Mus musculus: one gene and its partners. The protein of the gene in region 1 interacts with the protein of each later gene in a biochemical or structural test. Links are inferred from orthologs where the notes say so. Each region holds a gene or a part of one and is shown in the gene's direction. Other genes may lie near its edges. The genes, in order: Ep300, Hdac1, H2ac21, Nr4a1, Foxo1, Npm1 and Eid1.

Region 1 (4,218 bases):
AACTTAAAGGACTAGCAATGTGACTTTGAGATATGAACTGCTGCTTTCGAGAAGGCTATGAAGAGGATGGAATGTGTGTCTACGATGAAACACAGGTGTTTGGCGGATTTAATGGGGTTCCAAAGATCAACCTGAGAGGGCAAACCCCGGGAGCTCTGACCGTGGTTTTCCTTGTTTTCGCAGAGGAGCGCCTGAGCTTTGACTCGGTTCTGCTCAGAGACCCAGCCCAGGCACCTAACTGTCCACCGACCGAAAATACGTTCTAAGTTCACCCCGGACCCCCCCCCCCCCCACAACTTCTTTCAAAACCTCCCCTTTAAAGGGAGCCACCGAGTGACGCCGGGGGAGTTTGCGGAAGCGCCTACCGCGTTGGGGCCCTTGGGCGGATCCCGTGATTGGAGCCGGCACCGCCCCCGGCGCCGCTTCCCCCATTGTGTGAGCTGCAAGGCAGAGGCCCCGCCCTCGCCCCGCCTCCCTGTTTCTCGGCCCCTCCCCCTCTCACCTCCCCCCCCCCCCAATCTTGGCTCATTTCCGGCCGCCGCCGCCGCTACCGCTATCCTGTAAGGAGGATTCGGCAGAGGCAAGAAACAACAGCCGCCATCTTGTTTGTGTGCTAGCCTGTGGGGGGGGTGGGGGGAGGAGGAGAGAGAGCGGAGAGGGACCGGGAGAGAGAGAGTGGGGCAAGCGGGACGCCCGGCTGAGTGCGAACTGCGCGAGCAGGGAGTGAGGAGGGTACCTGGCTGGAGAGCAGCGGCCGGGACCGAGACAGTGGTTGGGGGCCCCGGGGCGCAAAGGCTGAGGCGACCCTCAGTCCCCTCCTTGCCCGCACACACCCCCACCGCAGCCCGGGCCGGCGTCGACGCCTAAGGGGGGGAAACCATTACATAAGCCCGCGCCCCGCGGCGCCTCTGCCCGCCGTCCGAGGCGGCCCCCGAGCCGAGCCCCCGGCAGGCACCTGGCTGCCGGGGGGGTGAGGGCCAGGGAGGCGGCCGGACTGATTTCTCCTCCCCGGGCTTGCGAGTGGAGGCGGAGAAGCGCGGCGCGCGGAGAGGCCGCGTCGGTGGGCTCGGCGTCAGCGCGGGCTTGCGGGCGGACGGCCCTGCTTGGCCCGGCCCGGCCCCCCTGGCCCTTCGGGCCGGCGAGCTCCACGCTCGGCGTCGTCGCTGCTGCGCCTCTGCTTGTCCGCTGCGCGATGTGAGGCGGCCCCGGCGCCAGTCTGGCTCTCGGCTCGGCTGAGCTCAGTGTGGCCATTAGGGGCCGGTGCGGCAGCGGCGGCGCGGAGCGCAGCGGCAGGAGGAGGAGGAGGGCGGCTCTCAGGGTGGGGGCGCAGGCCCGGGAGGGGGCACCGGGAGGAGGTGAGTGTCTCTGGTCGCCTCCTCCTCTCCCCCTTTTTCGCCCCCGCCTCCTTGTGGCGATGAGAAGGAGGAGGACAGCGCCGAGGAGGAAGAAGCTGATGGCGGCGGCGGAGCTCCGAGAGACCTCGGCTGGGCAGGGGCTCGCCGTGGCGGGCTGGGGACTGCGTCTGTAGAGCTGTGAGTTCCCGAGAATTCGCTGCAGCGGACGTGCTCGTGGGATCAGTGTTGCTGTACCCTCCTCCCGGCCTGGTTTAGGCCCGGCCCCTCGCACTTGCCCCTACCATTTCTGTTGAGTCCGCATCCCTCTCCGGCCACCGCAACCAGGCGAAGAGAAAAAGGAACTTCCCCCCACCCCTGTTGGGTGGCGGCGGAGCTCCGGAGCCCACCCTTAGGAGCGGGGCGGGGACCCCGTTTCGGAGAAGAGATTTCCTCAGGATTCTCGTTTTTTTCCTCGGTTGTATCTCCGAAAGAATTAAAAATGGCCGAGAATGTGGTGGAACCCGGGCCGCCTTCAGCCAAGCGGCCTAAACTCTCATCTCCGGCCCTCTCGGCGTCCGCCAGCGATGGCACAGGTTAGTCTCGGGACTCCCGGCCTTCCATAGTTCCCTTCGTCTTTTCTGCTCGTTGCACCTTCATTCCAGGGTGCTTCTGTGTATCTCTTCCCATTTCCCCGGCCGGTGTTTAATTTTAAAGGTTTTTGAATGGACTGGTCGAAGACGTCCAGTAGCCCAACCATTTTCTTTGCCTTCTGATACATTCATTGCAACACTATGTCATGTCAGATCGTTGTGTGTTCTGGAATTAAGAGGTTGGAAGTGGGAGCTGCGGGGACCTTTATTGTTGGCTCCATGCAATTTAATTTGGGAAATGCCGGTACAATCGTGTGTGAGGGCTTTTATGCACTTTTACTATTTTTGTTACTGGTGAATGAGGGATTTCAGCTCTTTCTCCCCTGTTGCAATGAATTCTTTTTTTCTCTGCTTTCCCACCTTTAATGATTTTTGCTCCTGTGAGGCAGATTTTCTGTTGAGGAATGGGGGCGGAAGACAAATCTTGGTGTCTGCGATCCAAGGTTTTAAGTGTAACTAAAGTTCAACAAAATTTCATTCTTAGGTCCCCTCTCCCCATCCTTGCCTCAAGAGTCAGTATGGACCGCAGTTTATTTTATATCCATTTGCCATGAAACCAAAATGTCTCAAACTGCGTGTTGAGGTGTAGACCTGAGGCGTTTCCTTTGCAGTTTGTCACACTCTTACTTAGAAGGGAAAGAAAAAAGATGAAGCCTTTCTGGAATTAGGTACTTAGAAATGGGAGATAATAAGTTGAAAGACTCCCAGTCATGAACTTCCAACTAAAGTGATTGTACAAGTTTAAAAATGAACAGGAGGTTTTGTGCTTGCATGTTTGTTTTGTTTTGCTTTTTGGACCTTTGCAATTCCAGTTTACAAGATGAAGGAATTCTTTTCTCCAGTCAGCCCCTTTGTTAGGAGACCTGAAGGGAGACTCTCCCTTGTCTGTTCTTTTTCCTGCTTACTGTTAGTTTAGTGTTATTCTGATGATCACTGACCTGGTCCTCTCTTGCTGTCTGACTTGTTTGAGAGGCCAGGATAATGAAGAAGAAGAAGAAGAAAAAGAAGAAGAAGAAGAAGAATGGCTAGTCATCTGACAGTCCACTAGATGTTCCTCCTTACTGCAAGCATCCCTTTAACTCAGAGAAGAGGCTCCAGATCTCTCCTTCTGCCAATGAGAGTGTATAGTGGAGTTAAACGTACCCTGCAAGTTGTAGAGAATGTGTGGGCCATGTTTCTGAGTAGGATTTCTATTAAGGCCTGGAAATAAGATAGAACTAGTGCATTACTCTGCTTTTTTAGCAGCTGTATTTCGAACCATGAGTTTTGCTCACCTGCAACAGTTGGGAAGGATAAGTCTTGCAGTGTTCTAAGGCTCTAACTTTAGTTATATGTGAGCATTCAGCTGTAAAGTTTCCGTAGTCTTAGAGAATTTTTTTTAAATTATGTCTTTGAAATTCATAGGCATAGATATTTTATAGACATATTTGCTCTGGATTTTTGTTTCCTCCTCTGCCCCCATAATAAGTGTACTTCTGTAACATGTTCACAAGTTACCATATTTGACATAGCCAGTAACAAGAAATATTATGGAAAACTTTTTAAAATTAAATTTTTGGATGTTCTGATTTTGAGTGACTTAGTCATAAAGTCTGTTCATGTAATTCTGTTCAGATGGACTACTGCATTCTTTATCTGATAAATTGTATAGCTTTTGGCTAACTTTCATGGTTAAAAAAGGGAAAACTTGCTTTGGGTATCTTTGAATGTCATTACTGGAGTCTTTGGGTGGTAGTGGTGGGGCTGGGGTTTTCTTTGTGTGGGTCTAGATGTCCTGGAATTCACATCACCAGCCTCTACCTCCCAAGTGCTGGATTTAAAGGCAGGTGCCACCAGGACCACCAACTTCTAGAGTCTTAAAAAATTTCAATACTGAGATTGGTTTATTCTTAGTAGTAAGGATTATAGTAATATTAGTAATTTTTCTTCTCTTAACATTGTAGTGACGGTTAAATTTTTTTTCTTTTAAAATTTATATACCATTAGGTCGGTTTTATTTTGTTTTGAGACAGGGTTTTTGTAGCTCTGACTATCCTAGAACTCTCCATGTTGATAAGACTGCCCTTAAGCTCACAGAGCCACCTGCTTCTGCCTCCTGTTTGCTGGGGTTAAAGGCCTGTGTCTCAAGGACCTGCTTGTTTCTTTTCCTTTTTTTTTTTTTTTTTTTTTTTTAATTTGATACAGGGTATCACTACATAGCCCTGACTGGCCTACAATCTAGAGAGAAATGATTG
Region 2 (3,500 bases), on another chromosome or scaffold:
CTCGCCCCTGGCCTCAGCAGCCACTTTCCTTAGGTTTTTGTGAGAGCCTGGGGCTGCTTCCTGTCTGTGTGGTTTCATTTGCATTAGTGTTTGTATGTGTTTCCACCTCATGCCCTGCTTGGTACTTTTACCTCATGGGCCTAAAATAACTCGAGTTATCACTTGGGTGTAGTCAAAGCACTGGCCTGTAGTAGTCAGGATACCTAGGTCCTATTCTGATTCTGATACTTATGGTCATACAGCCTTCGGCAAGTCACTTACTTCTTTGCATGTCCTCGTTCCAGTGCACGCTGGTCCTGTCTTGTCCAGGTCTTGGAGCTGTGAGTACTAAATGAGAGTCTATGTGCATAAAGCACTGTGGAAGGAGCAGGATACATTGTCTCAGGACAGGCAGCAGCAAATCAGGAGGCTTGAATTGTGCCTCTGTGTTAGCAGTTCGTTCACTTCTCTGAGCTCATTTCCCCATTTATAGGACTGGGCCAAATTCTACCTCAGAAGATTATGTGGGGATAAATGGATCAGGTGTTTAAAGCACTCAGCAGCATATGAACTCTTCCAGTACTCAGCAAGTAATTCTATAGGTCTCTGCTCACTTGGCCTTTCTGAGTCAGTTTCTTCATTTCTAAGTTCGGAAGGCAGTCCACCTCAGAAGACTGTGCGAGGATACGTGTATCAGGTATTTCAAGTGGTTAGAAGTGACAGCCTGCTGTAACACTCACCACGTGAGGAGCATACAGGTTTCCTTCGCCAGCATTTGCCAAATTGCTAAACACTTTCCTGTAAGATTTTTAATGTTGTATGCATAGTCCTAGCTACTCAGAAGGCCAAGGCTTAAGGAAAGGTTAAGCCAGGAGTTCAAGACCAGCTTGAGGAGCACGGTGAGGCCATGTCTTCAAAATTCCGGGGGAGGGTCTGTTAATTTTTTCACTGGCTGGTTGAAATGAATTTCACTGTTGCTTATTATCATTAATAGCATAAATCTCCAGGAAGTTAGCCTGGGCTAGAACCCAAGCTTTCTGAATCTAAACTGTTGTTTTCCTTCTCACTGTTGTAAAAATCTAAATAGAAAACTGAAGGAAGGGCTGGTGAGATGGCTCAGTGGGTAAGAGCACCCGACTGCTCTTCCGAAGGTCCAGAGTTCAAATCCCAGCAACCACATGGTGTCTCACAACCATCCGTAACAAGATCTGACTCCCTCTTCTGGAGTGTCTGAAGACAGCTACAATGTACTTACATATAATAAATAAATAAATCTTTAAAAAAAAGAAAAAGAAAAGAAAACTGAAGGAAACTGTGGAAGCTAACCTTTGCCTTATTTCTTTCAAGTCAATGTTGGTGAGGACTGTCCGGTGTTTGATGGCTTGTTTGAGTTCTGTCAGTTGTCCACGGGAGGCTCTGTCGGTAAGGAGACTAAATCTGCTTCTTGGGCTGTGCTGGACAGTTGCTGGGAGATCTGTCTGCCTTCATTACGAGTGATTCTGTGGGGTTTGACTTTCAACCTTAAACACAGTACTGACAGCTGTTTTTAATTCTCCTCTCCTGCCCCAAGAGCTTAGATGTGGAAATATCCTGTAGGCTTTAAGGGGCAGTTTGTGAACGGCAAAGACCTTTAAAAATGGAAGATCAACGTCTGTGTCTTATGAAAGAGTCAGGTCATTAACTTCTGAAGTCATAAATATTCCTCCCAGGTCATTTGACTGTAACTCTGAGATACCTTAGAACGGCCCCAAATCCTACCAAATGCAGCCACTCATGGGTTAAGGCTGGAGACACATTCTGAGAAATGTGTTCGTATACAGTTTGGACAAAGGTAGATGGTATAGCCTCCTGCACATCTGTACATGTGGTGTACATGTAGTACATGGTATAGCCTCCTGCACATCTGTACATGTGGTGTGCATGTAGTACATGGTATAGCCTCCTGCACATCTGTACTTGACATGTAGTATAGCCTGTTGTTTCTCAGCACCTGGATGAATAGAATGTGAGATTAAATCAAACGCCAGAAAAAATGCAGGGGCAGAGGCACTTACTGCTTATTATGAATAATTACTGCCCTTGCTCAAGGGTTTGGTTTCCAGCCCCCATATGGCAGCTAACAACTTAGAGTTAACTCTAGTTCTAAGGGCTCCAGTGCCCTCTGGGCACTAGGTACTTATGGTGCACATGCAGACGTGCATATATATCTGTGCAGACAGAATAGTCAGACAACTGTAGACACAGTATACAGGGGTGCAGCAACATTTCTGTTTTAGTTGGGGGTTTTGTTTCGTTTTACAATGAGGTCACTCTGTAGCCCTGATTTACCTGGAACTAACTTAGTAAACCAGGCTAGCTACAAGCTCAAGACGTCTGCCTGCCTCTGCTTCCTTAGTGTTGGGATTAAGGGTGTGTGCCACCACCAATAGCATACACAACAAACCCTGCCTCAACAATACCAAAAACACCCCCTTAAAACACTGTAAAATGAATAAAGTACCTCCCATTGAGTTGGCAGGGCAAGGGGAACGGCTTAGTAACAGGCTTGTGCTCTTTCCTTGCTCAGCAAGTGCTGTGAAGCTTAATAAGCAGCAGACGGACATCGCTGTGAACTGGGCCGGGGGCCTGCACCATGCAAAGAAGTCTGAAGCTTCTGGCTTCTGTTACGTCAATGACATCGTCCTGGCCATCCTGGAACTGCTAAAGTATGCCTGCCTGGCCTTGTGTCTTGGAAGAGCACCTTAGGCCAGGTCCCACTTCCCTCTACCCCTGGGCTTGCTTCCCTAGTTTGCTTTTCTTGTGGCCTGCTGGCTAGGATGTGTTCCATGAGTGTCTCTGGCCATCCTCTCCTTTTCGGGGTCTTGGTTTGATCTGAGCCCACGGCAAGATCTGGGGCAGGCGCTGCTAAGATCCTGCCTCCAGAGTGTCCTTGTGTGACTGGAGTTGACCCTGGCTGTAGAGTAGGAAGATCGGACATGGTCGGCTTGGTCAGGCCTCTGGAGACACCCCGGCCACTCTTCCACCTTCCTTCAGCCAGTTTCTACGTCTCTGGTGCTTAGAGATACCTGAGGGAGGCAGCTAGCCCGGTAAGCTGGGACCTGGCGCCCTTGGCGCGTCCCATCCCCAAAGAGCCCCCAGGGCCCTTATCACCTTCTGATCCTAGGTACCACCAGAGGGTGCTCTATATTGACATTGATATTCACCATGGCGATGGCGTGGAAGAGGCCTTCTATACTACAGACCGGGTCATGACTGTGTCCTTTCATAAATACGGAGAGTACTTCCCAGGAACTGGGGACCTACGGGTGAGAACTCCCTTTAGGGACCAACCAACTCACCTTCAGCTCTAACTCTCCTATCCTGTGTCATTAGAATCTACTTCTTGCCTCTCTGCCATTGAGAGTACCACATTATTGTTTGGGCACCTACACGACCTCATTCTTTATTCTGGAAGAGGACTGTTAGGATGTAAGGGGTCAAGAGAATTGAGGGTTTTCTGGCTCATTGTCACGGCCTCCTGA
Region 3 (2,247 bases), on another chromosome or scaffold:
TTACCCACAAAACAGAAAATTACATCCACTTTGTAGATGGCCTATAGCACAGGGTGAATCACACTTGGGTTGAGCGATCTCTGTCCCGTTAGCCTTCTTCACAACTCAGATCACTGAGAAGAAAACCAGAGGTCAAGGCGAGGGGGTTCACTGACTCTTTAAGCAGAACCTCACAAGGTGCCAGGGATATGTGTACGAGATTTTCCTGTTATCTGGGTTTTGTTCTCAGCCCCAAATGCCTCAAAAGTTAATGTTGTTAGAACTTGCATAGCAGAATGGCTGTCTAATGCTAACAAAATACCCTGCAAACTTAAGAATAGTTTAGAATGTAACTGTAACTTCTAGAATTAGATACAGTTCCCTTAACAGGCTCCCTCACCGTTCACCCCCCACCGTCTTATCTTGGTACCTGAAAGTTTTTGGGTGCAATTCTTGGGATAGGGCAAAGGAATGCAGAGCTCATGTTTCAGATGCTAATATGATGCTTGTTGAGACAAACGAGTTAAACATTTAGTAAACGCCTGATACCGGAGTCTGAGCTTGTGAAGCGAATCTGAATTAGCTGGAAGCTTGTAAGCCTCGCCAGAGGGAAGAGCTGGGGATAGGACAGTTCAGCTGAACTCGCGGATTTTTTAGTGGGGAGAGAACCGGAGCAGGGTAAAGAAAACCCCAGATCAAACGAGGACATCTTAAAAGCTAGAGGGAAAAGGTGGTGGCAGACACCTCCTAGAGGTCAAAGACGATGGATACAATGTCATCTAGCCCTTGGTCAAACGACCCAGGGGCAAAGATGGGGAGCCACTGTCAAGGGTAAGGAAGCGAAGCAACTTTCCTAATTCCTTTACGGAGCCTGCTTGTGTGAGACATGGAGAGTAATTTAAAGCTCCGGGGTGGGGGTGGGGACAGAGCAAAATCCCATACTTCAAGGGGAGTGTTTCGAGTTTTGTGCTCTTGGTTGTTTGTTTAGATTTTTCAGCTCTAAACTGGGCAAACAAAACAAACCTCTATAAATTACCACAATAAACAGCTCCGCGAAATTCTTCTGCCCTTAAAATCCTACGATGTAAGTGAGGGCCTTTAAATGTGGCTCTCATCGATTGGTAAATTCCTTTTTCAAAAAATTCGTCATTTCCTGTACTGCAGGATGTAAACCACCGAGTCTAGCTTCTGCTTTCCCATTGGCTGTTGGAGACAGCTCCATTTTAAGCCAATCAAGCTACTTTTCCTTCACCCCTCCCGATAGATCTTATAAATTCACCTTTCCATATCCTTCCCTTGGAAAAAGCAGCAGAAATTGCTTATTCCGCCATGTCTGGCCGTGGCAAACAAGGAGGCAAGGCCCGCGCCAAGGCGAAGTCGCGGTCGTCCCGCGCCGGGCTGCAGTTCCCGGTGGGGCGTGTGCACCGGCTGCTGCGCAAGGGCAACTACGCGGAGCGCGTGGGCGCCGGCGCGCCGGTGTACATGGCGGCGGTGCTGGAGTACCTAACGGCCGAGATCCTGGAGCTGGCGGGCAACGCGGCCCGCGACAACAAGAAGACGCGCATCATCCCGCGCCATCTGCAACTAGCTGTGAGGAACGATGAGGAGCTCAACAAGTTACTAGGGGGAGTCACCATCGCCCAGGGCGGGGTCCTCCCCAATATTCAGGCTGTCTTACTTCCGAAGAAAACGGAAAGTCATAAGCCTGGAAAGAACAAATAACTATTATCCCTTTCCACACAAAAAGGCTCTTTTAAGAGCCACCAAAGTGTCATCCAAAGGGCTGGTCACAAACTGGCGCGTTAGCTAGCTCCTTTGTAAAAGATTTGGTGGCTCTAAAAAGAGCCTTTTTGGATTCGTGTTGAGTTTCACTTGCTCTTAGCCTTGTGGCTCTCGGTCTTCTTGGGCAGCAGCACGGCCTGGATGTTGGGCAGGACGCCGCCCTGTGCGATCGTCACTTTGCCCAGCAGCTTGTTGAGCTCCTCGTCGTTGCGGATGGCCAGCTGCAGATGGCGCGGGATGATGCGCGTCTTCTTGTTGTCGCGGGCCGCGTTGCCCGCCAGCTCCAGGATCTCGGCCGTTAGGTACTCCAGCACCGCCGCCATGTATACCGGCGCGCCGGCGCCCACGCGCTCCGCGTAGTTGCCCTTGCGCAGCAGCCGGTGCACACGCCCCACCGGGAACTGTAGCCCGGCCCGGGAAGACCGCGACTTGGCCTTGGCGCGGGCCTTGCCTCCCTGTTTGCCACGGCCAGACATAACTTAGAGT
Region 4 (4,242 bases), about 20 Mb from region 1:
CACTGAGCTACGCCCTTAGCCCATTTTTAAAAACCGGTTATGGCCAGAATAGGCCGTCATTGGATAGTCTCGGTTAGTCTGCTGCACTGGTGGGCTGGCAGCAGAAATCGGGAACCAGGGGGTGGGGTCAAGGATGGGATAGAGATACTGCAAAGAGAATCCCTAGTAGGGAAAGCTAACCACTGAATCTTTTCTCCATACCCCTTCCTTTCTCTTACCTGACTACAAATGAGGTTTCCTTTAGCTTAGACTGGGATGGAGATGTGACCTGCAGGGTGACAGCTCCAGGTGGCTGCAGCCTGGTCTGCACTTTGAGTACAGCCCTGGCCAGACCCTTCCCTGCAAGCAGTAACTGGTTACAGCTGCTCTCTTCACTGCTGGAGCAGGTAGTGGGGAGGCAGGTGGGTCCCCATCAGGGACTGGGACCAGGGAATTGACAGAAGAGTGTGAAAAGGAGATGGAGTTCGATGGCCCTGGGTTCAAGACCCCATTGTGCTACTACCTAGCTTAGTGACCTTGAACAAGTACCATTATGTCTCTGAATCTATTTATAAAATGGGGAAGAGTTGGCAAGAGTTTGGAAAGATTTCTCAGGCTCCACCCGGTTCTGAAATTCGGCAATTTCTCAACTAGGGTGCATCCATCCTGCGAGGGGTTAAGAGGCCATCGCTGAGAAACCAGCATCGGTGTGGAGCCGAGCCCGTTGACCCAGCCTGGCAAAGCTATGCCCTTTGGGAAGGAACCTTGAAGGCCAGAGTGCCTGTCCTCAGTCCTGGGGCTAGAGACCCTGCACATTGCCAAGGCTGAGGCACGGGCCCAGCCCACCTCCTATCTTCTGGGTGTGTCCCAGAATGGCTTGCCTCAGCCCTGAACTGCCCTGGCTGCTCAGAATGGCAGAGAGTGATACCCTAGGTGTCCAGGACAGACTGGGAAAGGGACAAAAGCGGAGCAGGGCCTGGGGTAGGGGTGGGCAGGAGGGAGAGGGAGCTGTTGGCACCAGGAGCAGCTGGAGGGGAGGAGATCCTGTTCTGGGGAAGCCCTGCGGGCACGGATTTACAACACCCCCTCCTCCTGGTCGGTTATTTCGGACCCCGGGACCCGATCCCGGGTCCGGCTTGGTGAGCCTAGTGGGTCTGGAAGCTACTATATTTAGCCGGCGCAGCGGGCGAGAGGAAAACTATTTATAGATCAAACAATCCGCGCTCCCTGCGTCAATGGAACCCCGCGTGCGTCACGCGCGCAGACATTCCAGGCCCCCCCTCTTCGCCCCGCCCCCTCGGGCTCCCCGTCCCCGCGCCTCCTCCTGGCCGCCTCCCGCCGGAACCGCGCCGCCCCCCGCGCCCTTGTATGGCCAAAGCTCGCCGGGCCGTGTGCGTCAGTGGCGCCCCCGCCCCTCTCCATGCGTCACGGAGCGCTTAAGATGTGGGTCGGGCTCGCCAGGGGAGCCCCAGTGCAGGAGGCTGCGAAAGTTGGGGGAGTGTGCTAGAAGGACTGCGGAGCGGAGCGCACGCGGGACCAGGCTGCGACTGGGTCGCTGGTCCCGGCCACAGGGAGTGGGAGCCGGCTGGGTAGGTACCCCGCAGGGAGCGTGTTTCTGTTTCTAGGGACAGTGCATGAAAGAGATGGGGTGTACGCGCGGGCGAAAAGGAAGGGTGTTTTCGGGTCGGCTTACGAGGAGGGGTGTGTAGGGTGCATTTTTGGTATTAAAGGATAGCTCTTGGAGTAGGGTGAGCCAGGGCTTGAAGTTTAGGAAGCGGGCGAAGGGTCTGCAAGGTGCTTGGTTTTGGTAGGTAGTGGGCGCTTGTTTAGGAGGTTTCCCCGCTAGGATCTCCAGTGTGAGGCACTCTGTACTCTGGGTTTGGGTGTTGATTGCCGGGTAGGGGGTTGTCTGAGCATGGACTGGGAAAAGGTACTCAGAGCTTCGGCGTTGCTGGGATCCATCCAAGTACAAGTAAGATTGGATTTCCACGGGTCTCCTTCCCGGGCTCTCAGCCCCCTTTCCCAGTGTTTACTTAATACTTCATAGGCTGTACTTAGATTTTCTGATTCCCTTACCGAACTTTCTTTCTGAACCGTGCTGGAAGACCTGGGGGTTGCTGAAGGAAATGGCTAGCTAGGTTGGCTGGGTAATGGTTGTGTTAGACTAAGTTGTCAGAGTATCTAGAAACCTAGGAGCTGTAGCCTGGTGCAGCTACTGAAAGCCGCACGTGGAGCCTGGGTGGAAGTTGCTCACGATAGAGTCTCGATGTAGTACTGACTAGGGGGGAGACCCCTTCTGTCATCAGACAGACTTGTATACCCCAGTGGTCTTTTGAGTCTGTTAGGTAGGGTGCAGCCTGCGGGCTTGGTCACCTAACAGGTGTTGCCAGGACCTGCCCCAAGCCGGATTCTCCCACTCCCTCTTTCAACCCCGCCTCTTCCTCCTCCTTGAGACACCCCCACCCCCTCAGGAGGCTAGATGCAGATCTGTATCTTGTGTTGCGGACTATCGGCCTGAAGCTGGGTAGATTGGTGGGGGTTGATCCGGATGTAGGATGTCCAAGTGGAGAAACAGGATTTGAATGGAGCTGGAACAAACGCCCAGTCCTGACTGGCTGCCACCCTTCTTCCTCCACCCCCAACCCATCCCTTCCCAGGCTTCTTGCAAACAGAGGCAGAAGTGGCCATATTTCTTTCTTTCTCCCAGGTGCTGTATGCCCTAGGGACTTGACACGGGGCAGGCGGGGTGGGAACTGGTTGGGGGGGGGGTGCTGTTTTATGGGAAGTCGTATGCCTAGCCAGCGGTGGAGCTGTCCTGGCTAGGCACCCAGGGGTGGTGTGGGGAATGGGAGAAATACTGGGACTAGAGGGTCTCAAGGGCCAGCAGGTGGTGATAGTCTTTTTCTCCACCCCACCCTCTGCTCCAGCACCCTCTGCCTCAGCACCCTCTGCCTCAGCACCCTCTGCCTCAGCACCCTCTGCCTCAGCACCCTCTGCCTCAGCACCCTCTGCCTCAGCACCCTCTGCCCCAGCACCCTCTGCCCCAGCACCCTCTGCCTCAGCACCCTCTGCCTCAGCACCCTCTGCCTCAGCACCCTCTGCCTCAGCACCCTCTGCCTCAGCACCCTCTGCCTCAGTGTTCCTGTGTGACCTGTCTTTTCAACTAGAAAGTCTAGAACTGTACAGACCCCAGAGTTGGAGGTGGAAAGGGACACTAGGTCCTGGAGCCTCCTCTGTGGGCTTTTTTGACCAGATGAGAACGTAAGGGCCTCCTCCAGCTACCCCTGGTCATTCAGGTGCTTCAGGTTTGTGACCTTTGCTGAGACCCTGGATGCTGCAGCAAACAGACATCTGCTTTAGCAGAGGGACAGCTTGTCTCTGTGCATCCGCTGGTAGGATCCTCCACTCTGTCCAATTAGCTTGCGGCTGCTGCTGGGTTCTGAGTGTTCTCTTACAAAATGACAAGGTTAGGGGGCTGGAGAGATGGCTCAGGGGCTAAGAGCACCCATGTGGCAGTTTGCAACTGTCTGTAACTCCTGTTCCAGGGGGGATCTGACACCCTCACACGGACAAACATGCAGGCAAAACACCTATTGGCATGGAAAATGAAAATAAATGACCGGGTTAGCTGAGAAATTCCTTTTGAGAGTTGTCTTTTCTCCAGTCCAGAGACTGCTCTCTGGATCTTCCTGCTCAGTTCCTCGCCTCCCTTCAATATATGGTATTTAAGGTTTTACTTTTTTTTGCGTTTTCAATTGTTTTTAATTGTATTTATATGTGTCTCTGTGTGTGCACATGAGCATGGGTGTCCTACAAGGCTAGAGACATCAGATGTCCTGGAGCTAGAGTTACAGATGGTTGTGAGCCACCTGATGTAGTTGCTGGGAACTGGATTTAGTTCCTGTGGAAGAGCAGTGCATGCTCTTAACCACTGAGCAACTTCTCCACCCCCCCCCCCCCCCCCAGTATACGGTATTTAAAACTCTATAGCAATGCTACCCAACCCATTGTGGAGCTGGGGATGGTGAGGTGGCCTAGTTCCCCCCAACTCCTGGAAACATGTCAGAAAGTACAGAGTGGGTGCCTGTGGGATCAGCATGCGGGGGGTGGTGGTGGTGAGGTGTGGGGCTGCTTTCTCCCGAGGCTACCGTGATAGACAGTTGTACCTTGGCTGGCAGCCTCTACCCCATTTCCAGGATGTCAGTCTCTGCAGACGTATGGGGGAGGTGGGGAAGGGGTATACAGAGCCTAGGGTGTGCCTGG
Region 5 (3,500 bases), on another chromosome or scaffold:
TTTTGCTGCACAAGTTTTATTCTCAGAACCCAAGTAAAGGTGGAAGGTGAAAAGAGACTCCAAAAGCTGTCTTCTGACCTCCACACAAATTACGAGCTGTTAGGCTGCTCAGAATGGGCACTGTATATCTCTGATCCCCATTGAGCAGTAAGTTTTCCAAGGGGGGAGTGCTGCACTTCTAACATACTGTTTTGCTTTGCAGAATTCAATTCGCCACAATCTGTCCCTTCACAGCAAGTTTATTCGAGTGCAGAATGAAGGAACTGGAAAGAGTTCTTGGTGGATGCTCAATCCAGAGGGAGGCAAGAGCGGAAAATCACCCCGGAGAAGAGCTGCGTCCATGGACAACAACAGTAAATTTGCTAAGAGCCGAGGGCGGGCTGCTAAGAAAAAAGCATCTCTCCAGTCTGGGCAAGAGGGTCCTGGAGACAGCCCTGGGTCTCAGTTTTCTAAGTGGCCTGCGAGTCCTGGGTCCCACAGCAACGATGACTTTGATAACTGGAGTACATTTCGTCCTCGAACCAGCTCAAATGCTAGTACCATCAGTGGGAGACTTTCTCCCATCATGACAGAGCAGGATGACCTGGGAGATGGGGACGTGCATTCCCTGGTGTATCCACCCTCTGCTGCCAAGATGGCGTCTACGCTGCCCAGTCTGTCTGAAATCAGCAATCCAGAAAACATGGAGAACCTTCTGGATAATCTCAACCTTCTCTCGTCCCCAACATCTTTAACTGTGTCCACCCAGTCCTCGCCTGGCAGCATGATGCAGCAGACACCATGCTATTCGTTTGCACCGCCAAACACCAGTCTAAATTCACCCAGTCCAAACTACTCAAAGTACACATACGGCCAATCCAGCATGAGCCCTTTGCCCCAGATGCCTATGCAGACACTTCAGGACAGCAAATCAAGTTACGGAGGATTGAACCAGTATAACTGTGCCCCAGGACTCTTGAAAGAGTTGTTGACTTCTGACTCTCCTCCCCACAATGACATTATGTCACCGGTTGATCCCGGAGTGGCCCAACCCAACAGTCGGGTCCTGGGCCAAAATGTAATGATGGGCCCTAATTCGGTCATGCCAGCGTATGGCAGCCAGGCATCTCATAACAAAATGATGAACCCCAGCTCCCACACCCACCCTGGACATGCACAGCAAACGGCTTCGGTCAACGGCCGTACCCTGCCCCATGTGGTGAACACCATGCCTCACACATCTGCCATGAACCGCTTGACCCCCGTGAAGACACCTTTACAAGTGCCTCTGTCCCACCCCATGCAGATGAGTGCCCTGGGCAGCTACTCCTCGGTGAGCAGCTGCAATGGCTATGGTAGGATGGGTGTCCTCCACCAGGAGAAGCTCCCAAGTGACTTGGATGGCATGTTTATTGAGCGCTTGGACTGTGACATGGAGTCCATCATTCGGAATGACCTCATGGATGGAGATACCTTGGATTTTAACTTTGATAATGTGTTGCCCAACCAAAGCTTCCCACACAGTGTCAAGACTACAACACACAGCTGGGTGTCAGGCTAAGAGTTAGTGAGCAGGTAAGTTTATTCACTGCAGTATCAAGAGGCCTTTTGAAAAAGGGACACAGTACCATGTGTCTTCCTTCCATGGTTAGACATTAAAAAAATAAAAATAAAAAAAATAAAAATAAAAACGTAATTAAAGACAGGGTCTTATGTAACTCATCCCTACCAGGCCTGGCTTACTTGGTGCTGGGGTCTAACCCAGGGCAACACTGACAGAGCTATGCCCAGGGTTGCATTAGGCTTTCTTCTAATGCCATCTGGTTGCAGGTGCTTACCTGTTATTGTCCTCCCCTCCCTCCCTCCCTCCGTTTATCAGTTTGCCTTTTGGGGTTAAAATAGAGTGCAGATTGCTTTAGCAGCTTTTAAGACTTTCTTTTCACTGTAGGATGGGTTGTGCTTTCTGCCAGCTCTAAAATAAATGGACACATTGGAATCAAATCAGATGCCAAAGGTCTTTTCTTTTCCTCCCATTTTTTCTCAATAAAGAAAAAAAATGTACCCATTGAATAATTTTGTAGCTGTTTGAGAAGGCTGGAGCTTCCCCTACCCCCAACTTGATTAAGTACAATTGAGTTGAAAATGACTATATTTTTATTGTGTGTGTTTTTCCCCTTTAGGCTACATTTAAAAGTCCTTCAGATTGTCTGACAGCAGGAACTGAGGAGCAGTCCAAAGATGCCCTTCACCCCTCCTTATAGTTTTCAAGATTTAAAAAAAAAAAAAAAAAAAAAAAAAGTCCTTTCTCCTTTCCTCAGACTTGGCAACAGCGGCAGCACTTTCCTGTGCAGGATGTTTGCCCAGCGTCCGCAGGTTTTGTGCTCCTGTAGATAAGGACTGTGCCATTGGGAATCATTACAATGAAGTGCCAAACTCACTACACCATGTAATTGCAGAAAAGACTTTCAGATCCTGGAGTGCTTTCAAGTTTTGTATATATGCAGTAGATACAGAATTGTATTTGTGTGTGTGTTTTTTAATACCTACTTGGTCCAAGGAAAGTTTATACTCTTTTGTAATACTGTGATGGTCTCAAGTCTTGATAAACTTTGCTTTGTACTACCTGTGTTCTGCTACAGTGAGAAGTCATGAACTAAGATCTCTGTCCTGCACCTCGGCTGAATGACTGAACCTGGTCATTTGCCACAGAACCCATGAGAGCCAAGTAGCCAGTGATCAATGTGCTGAATTAATGGACTTGTCAAACTTTGGGGCAGAATAAGATTAAGTGCCAGCTTTGTACAGGTCTTTTTCTATTGTTTTTGTTGTTGTTTATTTTGTTATTTGCAAATTTGTACAAACAACTTAAAATGGTTCTAATTTCCAGATAAATGACTTTTGATGTTATTGTTAGGACTCAACATCTTTTGGAATAGATACCGAAGTGTAATGTTTTCTTAAAACTAGAGTCTACTTTGTTACATTGTCTGCTTATAAATTTGTGAAATCAGAGGTATTTGGGGGCTGCATTCATAATTTTCATTTTGTATTTCTAACTGGATTAGTACTAATTTTATATGTGCTCAGCTGGTTTGTACACTTTGCGATGATACCTGATAATGTTTCTGACTAATCGTAAACCATTGTAATTAGTACTTGCACACTCAACGTTCCTGGCCCTTTGGGCAGGAAAGTTATGTATAGTTACAGACACTCTGTTTTGTGTGTAGATTTATGTGTGTATTTTAAAGAAATTTCACCTGCTTTTATTACCCTGTGAGTTGTGTACAGCGCATAGCACCAAGTCTTCAGATAGATGCCACGTGCTTACAGCCTTCTAGGGAAGCCTGCCAGATGATGCCCTGTGTCACGCTGTCATAGTTCCCATGGGAACTCTGTCTGTCGCTCAGGAAAGGGGAACTTTTATCTAAGGTGATGTTCTTTGTCTGACTGGGGTTCGCCTCCTACTACTCTGAGCTGTTGGCTTTTGTCACGATGGAGGTGGCTTTGTGGCTCTGTCC
Region 6 (3,500 bases), on another chromosome or scaffold:
TCTGCCTCCCGAGCACTGGGGTTAAAGGTGTGTGCCAGGAAAGAGTTTTAAAAAGTATTTCTGGCTGGGGGTGGTCTACAAAGTGAGTTCCAGGACACCCAGGGCTACACAGAGAAACATTGGTATCGAAAAAAAAAAACAAAATTTCTGGCATTTACTTTGGCTAATCACCAAAATTTCTCTTGCTAATGGATGCATATTATTCTTTCAGAAAAAAGTAAAACTTGATGAAGATGATGAGGACGATGATGAGGACGATGAGGATGATGAGGAGTAAGTATAAGTACTATGATCTCAAAAACTTGATCTTACAGGTACTTGTAAGGGTTTAGGAGGATTGACTTGCCAGTGGTTGATGTTTGAAAGTAAAAGATTTTGACCTATGATTCCATGTTTGCCTTACAAACAAGCTATTTATTGTATGTGGGACATTGATGGGGGGGTTGAATTAATTTATTTTTTTGAGACAGGGTTTCTCTGTGTAGCCCTGGCTGTCCTGGAACTCACTCTGTAGTTCAGGCTGGCCTGGAACTCGGAAATCTGCCTGCCTCTGCCTCCCAAGTGTGTGCGCCACTGTGCCCGGCTGGGACATTGATTTTTCTTGGGAGTTATTGTTAGGAGTAAGATTTTATGTGTTCAATATAAGTAACAGCTAGATGGGAAGTATGGAATTCGTTAAAAATATTTTTATTACATATTTTCCTCAATTACATTTCCAATGCTATCCCAAAAGTCCCCCATACCCTCCCCCCGAAGTATGGAATTATTATTTGTAGTCTTATATTTGTTACCTTCCTGTCTTATAGAAGTTCTGGAATTGGTCAAGTATATTCTGAGCTAAGATAACTGTTCAAAGCAAACTTGGGAACTAGTCTTCATTATATTGATTACTGTATTCATAGTGGGGACATAGTAAGGGACAAATAATAGTCTTGAGGTTATCAGGGTTAGTAGTTCTTCTGGTGTGATAATGGTTCATCATACAGAGATGATGCCCACGAGAATAAAATGATAGCTGAAGATTATTTACTATTTAAGTTGGAGAGTTTAATCACATTGCCAGAAAGTTCTGGATCAAAGAATGCAAAGAGGCTTTAAACACATACTCTGTATACAAGCCTATGGATTAAAGTCCTGGATCAGATAATTCAAATTGTTTGATTTCAAGATTGACTTTATATATTTCATTGTATATAGTTTAACAATGTTTGGGGAGTAGCCAGGCAGTGGTGTCGCATGCACTTGGGAGGCAGAGGCAGGTTGATTTCTGTGTTCGAGGCCAGCCTGGTCTACAGTGAGTTCCAGGACAGCCAGGGCTACACAGAGAAACCCTGTCGAAAAACCAAAAAAAATTGGGGAGTAGAACAGATGAGTGGGTTATATTGCAAATAATGACATTTATGCAGAGATTTTTTTGACTATTTTGCCATTTAAGAGCTTAGAAGATAACCCTGAGGAATGTTGTTAGAACTAAGTATTGAATGCTGCTGTACTAAAGGACAGATATATGTGGTCTCATAAGATGGTATTGCCTTTTGGTTTTATTAGACATTTTTATTTACATTTCAAATATCCCCTTTTCTAGTTTCCCCTCTGAAAACCCCCTATCCCCCTCTCCATGCTCACCAACACCCATTCCTGCTTCCTGGCCCTGGCATTCCTCTATACTGGGGCATAAAACCACCAGCATCAAGGGCCTTTTTAATCTTAAGGATAAAATCATTGGAATAGTGTTTTGGTGGTATGACTGATACTACTACATGGTTTAGGATAGAAGAAAAGAGTAGTTTTATAGAAATTAGTATTGTTTCTGGTACCAAGCATCTACATGGATTGGGTGTAAGGTAAGGTCATTTTTATACTAACCTGTAGTGTTAAATTACCAAAACCACTGGATTTACATGTAGCAGATCCTAACAAGAGAGAATCTCCCCACTGAAAAGGTAATTTACATGAAGTTCAAACTTTTGACTTTAACACTAGTGTGGAAAATGTAGTCACTGTTGGTGATTTTGCTTACAGACTTTGTATGAGCAATTGGACATTATATACTTAGGTATAGACATGGAGATGTTTCAGTGGCCATACTGAATGTGATTTGCCCCCTTCTAAAAAATCACAGTATGCCTGAAGAACATTTTGTATTCCTCTTAAAGCAAGTGCCATGTGACTTTATATCATAATCTCAGCTCTAAATTGGAAGTGAGAAGCAGCACCCTTTTTTGAGCTAGGACGTTACACTAAGTATTTGGAGGTGGACTGTTGTTAATTTCAATCTGGCAGCTTAATTCCAGTGCCACATATATATGTCTTTAGGAGGAGCCAATAAAGTTAGCCTTGTCAAACACTGCACATAACACATTGGAATGAAGTGTAAGCAGAAGCATCTTTACAGTAAGACAGGTAGAATCAACAAATGTAGTAAAATTTTTACTATAGAATTTTTGATCAATCTTTGGCTACATTTAAATTATTTGAGTATTTTGCAACATTTCATCACCACCATTTCGGTCTGGCTTTGATTTTTGACAGAATTGATCCCTATAGTTTTTAAGGGCTGAAAAGTCATGTGCATGTGTCATTGACTGTAGGTATTTGGGGTTGCTGTCACCACCTTGTGGGAGTTCTTCCTAAATTTACCTCTTGAAGAGTAATGTGTGAAGCAGTATCTTTGTTTGGTTTATTCCCTAGGTGACTAACAGTCTTACATGTTTACTGACCATATGTTTGGGGAGAAATGGTCTGTTCAAATTTCTTGCATAAGTAATTAGTATCTTTGCTCTAGTTACTGGGATATGTAAAAGTTAATCCCTACACTGCAGAGGAGAGGACACTAAAGGCATATATGTACTAACACCTGGCTAAATGTTAACTCTAAAAAGCCTAGTTTCTTTATGGTTTGGTACAAAGCTGATTTGGTTGAAGCTATTTATTTACTAATAACATTGCAAAATTAATCAACTACACAACCCTTTGAAACAATACTCTCAAGTATTATATAAAAATGTTTGTTAGGTTTCTTAAGTATTGATCCATTCAAATACTGGTGCAAATTCACTTTTATTAACAATTGTGCTACAGTGGATGAATATGGTTTAGTTCTTTTGTAAAATTGACTAAAAATTTAAGTTCTGTGTGTTGGCTTATTTCATTTATAGTGATGATGATGATGATTTTGATGAAGAGGAAACTGAAGAAAAGGTCCCAGTGAAGAAAGTGAGTACATGAGATACTATGAGGTTTATCATGGGTAGCTAGTAAAAGGATGGGAATTTCTTAGTGCTAGTAGTAAAAACTGGCTGAATTGATCTTAAAAATTGGTTCTGAGCTAAACAGGAAAATTTGAGAACGCTATCTGTATGTGAGTTACAATTTATTAGTTTGTTTTAGGACAGTTTAATCTGAGTTGATCTCTACTCTGGAGAGGGCATATGGATTAAGGCCATTTTCTACTTGCAGTCTGTACGAGATACCCCAGCCAAAAATGCACAAAAATCAAA
Region 7 (4,203 bases), on another chromosome or scaffold:
CTGTGCACTTTTCTCTATTAACATTTCAATAAGAACAAAAATCAACATGCAAAGATTATATTCCAATAACAGCTCATGAGAAACTTCATTTAATGGATAAAGAGGAAGATTTCATACAAATATGTTCAAGTATGTAAAACTAGTAAGGATCATGTAACACTTTGGAGAAAAGTTCGCTGAAGAATATAAAAAATGACCATTGGCAAAAATTATATAAGATAAAGAGGAATGCTATGGAGCATTGTCTCTTGGACATGACAGGGCCATTGCATCCACGAATAATAAACTAAAGCTATGGAAAGATTATAAAGATACAATCAAGGCTGGAGAAATGGCTCAGCAGTAAACAGCATCGGCTGCTCACACTAAGGACCAGGGTTCGACTCCCAGTAATCACAGGGCAGTGTACAACTGACTTCGTTTCTAGGAGTTCCAACGCCCTCTTTTGGCCTCTGTAGGCACAATGCACACACGTGGCACACAAACATTACAGACAGGCAAACAAACGCATACACACGAAAGAGAGATCAAATTGATAAAACTTAAGTTTACTTATATTAATTCCATAAAACAATACGTGGTAAGGGTGTGGATATTCTCAAACACTATTGGCTACAGTTTAAGTTTGTAGAGCAACCGTGGCGCGTGATTATCTGTATATATTTAAAATATGTATAGCCTATTTTCCACCTTTCTTTATCCTAGTACTCACACATGTATGTGGTTTAGTTTCCCCATGGTATATACGTGTGGACATACACACAATTTATCTTTGGTTAGGTCAACTTCAATAAATTCAGAAGAAAAAAACCGAAAAGTTAAATTTTCTCAGTGCGCAGGACGGGACTAGTGGGATTTGAAATGGTGAGAGGTAATGGACATGCTGATCACAGGAACGCTGGGGAGGCAGGGAGGTGGAGGAGAGATGGCATCTGTGACAGAAGGCCAGGGCTTTCCATCTAGGCAAAGCAAGCACTTGGCAAGGAACTTAGAGCTGGTCTCCAGGTGGGTCACCAGCGGAAGCATCGCGGGTCCTGAGTGGGTGTGAGGGTGAGGTGGGAGTCCGGGAAACATAGGGGGTGAGGGGTGGGAAGGGAAGAGCTCGCGCCCGCGCCCGCGCCCGCGCACCACGCCCCCCCCCCCCCCCGTGGACCAAGCGGCCTACTCGCCAGCACACGCACGCCATGCTGGCACGCGCACCACGCCCGCCTACCCGTTTGCGCACGTGAAACGTGCTCCGCACGCGCATCACGCATGCCCACTCGCCTGCGCACGCGCCCCCCCCCCCCAGCTCGCGCTCCACGCACGCCCTCTTGCCTGCGCACGCGCACCACGCCCGTTCGCGCGCCCGTCTCTGCAAAAGGTTCCTTTTTTTTTTCCACCTTGGTCGAGTCGCTTCCACCATGGCGGAGATGGCAGAGCTTTGCGAGCTGTACGAAGAAAGCAACGAGTTGCAGATGGACGTGCTGCCCGGCGAGGGCTATATGGAGGTAGGCCGCGGGGCCCGCGGGCCGGCCCCGGAGGAGGGCCCCATGGAGGAGGAGGCCGGGCCGGCCGCCGCCCGCGCCCAGCGCGGTCTGTTCCCCGAGGCTGGCGCGGACCTGGAAGGCGACGAGTTTGATGACTGGGAGGACGACTACGAGTTCCCTGAAGAGGAGCGCTGGAGCGGCGCGATGCACAGGGTGTCCGCCGCCCTGGAGGAAGCCAACAAGGTGTTCCTGCGAACCGCGCGAGCCGGAGATGCCCTGGATGGCGGCTTTCAGGCGCGGTGTGAGAAGAGCCCTTTCGACCAGCTAGCTTTTATCGAAGAGCTGTTTTCGCTGATGGTTGTCAATCGACTGACCGAAGAGCTCGGTTGTGATGAGATCATTGATCGAGAGTAAATGCTGACGAGAGAGGAGGAAACTACCTGAGAGGGAGAGATTCAACATTCTGCTATTTTGGGGTTCATTCCAAATAGTTCTGTGCAAAAAATAAAAACAGTTGGTTTTTGTTTCTCGGAATAGAAGACGGGACAGTGAATGACCATGCATTGTGGAAAAGGAGAATCGAGGAAGGAGGAGTGTTAAACCTGAGAATCGCGAGGAGAAAAAGACCAAATCGTTCCTCTTTGGTCTCACAGGGGCTCAGCAAAAACCTCTGGTTCAGACTGTTGATCGAGATGATTTTCCTTACATTGGAGAAGAGCTTTCTCTGTTAAGCTTTTAAAGATGGTTTGGAAGAGTAAATTGTGACTACCAATACAAGAATCTAATTAAAGAATGGGGGGAAATACATTCCAAGATGTCTTTAATTCGAACTGAAAGGCTATTGAAAAAAAAAAAAACTTTCCAAATTCTTTTTGGTGATTTATACACATCAGTTATCAAAAGCTAAACTTGAGGTTTAAGATTGAGTATTCATCTACCCCACAGAGTAGTCCAAGTAAATGTGGGTATAAATGTAGACGTGTTATCATGTGTGCTGTCATCTTAAAATGTGTTACAAACGCTTCTGGAATTTTGACTGCACATGTATCTTCATGATTTATAAAGCTACTGTGACCTCTAATTTGGAAAAACCCATTGTAATGATTTTCAAAGTAAAGAAAGAAACAGGATGTCTTTTTAAGGTTTTAAGTTCATGCATTAAATAAAATGTATGGGAAAGCCCAAAGACAAACTTTCTAATACCCTTTTATACTAGGGAAATTTCACTTGCTGTTTTGTACCTTGACAGATGGTAAGACTATAACTGAAGTTCATATTGTAAGAACTGTTTGCTAAAATTGTCAAGTAAAAAGAAATCCTGCCTGTATCTATAAAAAGATGTATGAGCTATTATGTTGTCAAACTTTGAAGGTTTTAAACCTACCCAGAAGTCCACCTGGGTGTCTGATATTCATATTCTCTCTCTCCCTCTCTGCCTCTTTCTTCCCCTCCCCCTCCCTTCTTCTAATTATGCTTGTTAATCTTTATGCACCAGCATTGGCGATAATAAATTTTCTTGTTCTGTGTATTTTGCTTTGTCTAATAGCTTTGCATACATGCTTTATACAGGATTCTCTTGCTGTGTGTGCCACGCCTCCATCTTGATATTTAAACATCCAATGCTTACAATGTAAACCAGTATCAAATATCCAAAAAATGGGTTCTGGGATGTTAAAGCAAATTTCAGAGTTTTCTGGAAGACCCGCTCTGTGAATGTGATGCTATGGCTTAATTGATGCTGAAGTTCCTTGAGAAGAAAATGATGTATTAGCACGATGTCCCTGCTGATGCCACCATGGCAACCAATACAGAACAGAGCTGAGACAGTAGGATAACTCCTGGGTTTCTGTGGGGTTGGTTGGTTGGTTTTACAGTCATCTTGTTTGAGAGGCTGCCGAGGTGGTTCAGTGGGTAAAGGTACCTTCTGCCATATAGCCAAGCCTGATGGCCTGAGTTTGATCTCTGGGGTCCATGTGGTGGAGGGAGGGAGAGAGACCTCCCCCAAGATTGGGCAGGCCTGTTAGTAATTTTAGACCCTCACCTGGGATTTTAGTTGCTCCTGTACCTCCAAAGCACCTGTACATAATTTTGCCCCGGTTACATGTGGTTTCAGAAGGTGCTAAAACACAAAAGGTGGGAGGTTGGCTGATGTTAGGTGGGGACTCGTGTTTGGGAAGCTGTCACCCATGTTAGGGTAGGACATTTAGATAGAGCCGCTACAAACACTTCCATGGGTAACCCCTCAGCCCTCTTTTTTACTCACCCAATAAATTGCCTCACTAGTTGGACTTGAGGGAATCATTTATTGATCTGTTATTGGTATTTACCTGCTGTAAATAGACTTTTGTTCACATCTCCACAGAAATATAATACAAATATCCATAAATTTGAGTGTATTTGTGTTTGGGGACCAAAGTATATCGTGGAAGTTAAGAGGAGAAGCCATGCATTGGTATTTCTTTGTATCCTTTATTCTGCATTTATCTATCTATCTATCTATCTATCTATCTATCTATCTATCTATCTATCTATCTATCTATCTGGGAGATTCATGCCACAGTAAGCAAAGGGCAAAAAATAACCTTCAGGAGTTGCTTCTCTCCCAGCATTTGGGTGGGGCCTAGGGATCAGACACAGGTCATCAGGCGTGGTAGTAAACTCTTTTACTCACTGGACCCTCTTGTATTTATCTTTAGTTTTGTGGCGATAGGGTCTCACTATGTAGCTCCAGCTG

What was found.
Region 2: the proteins of Ep300 (region 1) and Hdac1 form a complex in vitro, tested with the Homo sapiens proteins (2 studies listed by BioGRID, with this or other methods). The link is inferred for Mus musculus from reciprocal best matches to the Homo sapiens genes EP300 and HDAC1.
Region 3: of the proteins of Ep300 (region 1) and H2ac21, one has a biochemical effect on the other in vitro, tested with the Homo sapiens proteins (2 studies listed by BioGRID). The link is inferred for Mus musculus from reciprocal best matches to the Homo sapiens genes EP300 and H2AC21.
Region 4: the proteins of Ep300 (region 1) and Nr4a1 form a complex in vitro, tested with the Homo sapiens proteins (2 studies listed by BioGRID, with this or other methods). The link is inferred for Mus musculus from reciprocal best matches to the Homo sapiens genes EP300 and NR4A1.
Region 5: of the proteins of Ep300 (region 1) and Foxo1, one has a biochemical effect on the other in vitro, tested with the Homo sapiens proteins (3 studies listed by BioGRID, with this or other methods). The link is inferred for Mus musculus from reciprocal best matches to the Homo sapiens genes EP300 and FOXO1.
Region 6: the proteins of Ep300 (region 1) and Npm1 form a complex in vitro, tested with the Homo sapiens proteins (2 studies listed by BioGRID, with this or other methods). The link is inferred for Mus musculus from reciprocal best matches to the Homo sapiens genes EP300 and NPM1.
Region 7: the proteins of Ep300 (region 1) and Eid1 form a complex in vitro, tested with the Homo sapiens proteins (3 studies listed by BioGRID). The link is inferred for Mus musculus from reciprocal best matches to the Homo sapiens genes EP300 and EID1.

The regions. Positions count from the first base shown.
Region 1 is NC_000081.6:81,584,796-81,589,013, forward strand, and holds the start of Ep300 (histone acetyltransferase p300), read left to right. Parts: upstream 1-1,418; 5' UTR 1,419-1,833; coding exon 1,834-1,927; intron 1,928-4,218. UniProt on the Homo sapiens protein: Functions as a histone acetyltransferase and regulates transcription via chromatin remodeling. Acetylates all four core histones in nucleosomes. Histone acetylation gives an epigenetic tag for transcriptional activation.
Region 2 is NC_000070.6:129,522,147-129,525,646, reverse strand, and holds part of Hdac1 (histone deacetylase 1), read left to right. Parts: intron 1-1,326; coding exon 1,327-1,401; intron 1,402-2,545; coding exon 2,546-2,684; intron 2,685-3,142; coding exon 3,143-3,284; intron 3,285-3,500. UniProt on the Homo sapiens protein: Histone deacetylase that catalyzes the deacetylation of lysine residues on the N-terminal part of the core histones (H2A, H2B, H3 and H4).
Region 3 is NC_000069.6:96,218,608-96,220,854, forward strand, and holds H2ac21 (histone H2A type 2-B), read left to right. Parts: upstream 1-1,277; 5' UTR 1,278-1,308; coding exon 1,309-1,701; 3' UTR 1,702-1,747; downstream 1,748-2,247. Other genes in the region: H2ac20 (histone H2A type 2-C), read right to left, coding at 1,848-2,237. UniProt on the Homo sapiens protein: Core component of nucleosome. Nucleosomes wrap and compact DNA into chromatin, limiting DNA accessibility to the cellular machineries which require DNA as a template.
Region 4 is NC_000081.6:101,265,404-101,269,645, forward strand, and holds the start of Nr4a1 (nuclear receptor subfamily 4 group A member 1), read left to right. Parts: upstream 1-1,442; 5' UTR 1,443-1,568; intron 1,569-2,607; exon of another isoform or gene 2,608-2,686; intron 2,687-3,529; exon of another isoform or gene 3,530-3,594; coding exon of another isoform or gene 3,595-3,700; intron 3,701-4,242. UniProt on the Homo sapiens protein: Orphan nuclear receptor. Binds the NGFI-B response element (NBRE) 5'-AAAGGTCA-3'. Binds 9-cis-retinoic acid outside of its ligand-binding (NR LBD) domain.
Region 5 is NC_000069.6:52,344,837-52,348,336, forward strand, and holds part of Foxo1 (forkhead box protein O1), read left to right. Parts: intron 1-202; coding exon 203-1,540; 3' UTR 1,541-1,554; intron 1,555-2,159; 3' UTR 2,160-3,500. UniProt on the Homo sapiens protein: Transcription factor that is the main target of insulin signaling and regulates metabolic homeostasis in response to oxidative stress.
Region 6 is NC_000077.6:33,156,707-33,160,206, reverse strand, and holds part of Npm1 (nucleophosmin), read left to right. Parts: intron 1-211; coding exon 212-273; intron 274-3,158; coding exon 3,159-3,216; intron 3,217-3,459; coding exon 3,460-3,500. UniProt on the Homo sapiens protein: Involved in diverse cellular processes such as ribosome biogenesis, centrosome duplication, protein chaperoning, histone assembly, cell proliferation, and regulation of tumor suppressors p53/TP53 and ARF.
Region 7 is NC_000068.7:125,671,789-125,675,991, forward strand, and holds Eid1 (EP300-interacting inhibitor of differentiation 1), read left to right. Parts: upstream 1-1,403; coding exon 1,404-1,883; 3' UTR 1,884-3,855; downstream 3,856-4,203. UniProt on the Homo sapiens protein: Interacts with RB1 and EP300 and acts as a repressor of MYOD1 transactivation. Inhibits EP300 and CBP histone acetyltransferase activity.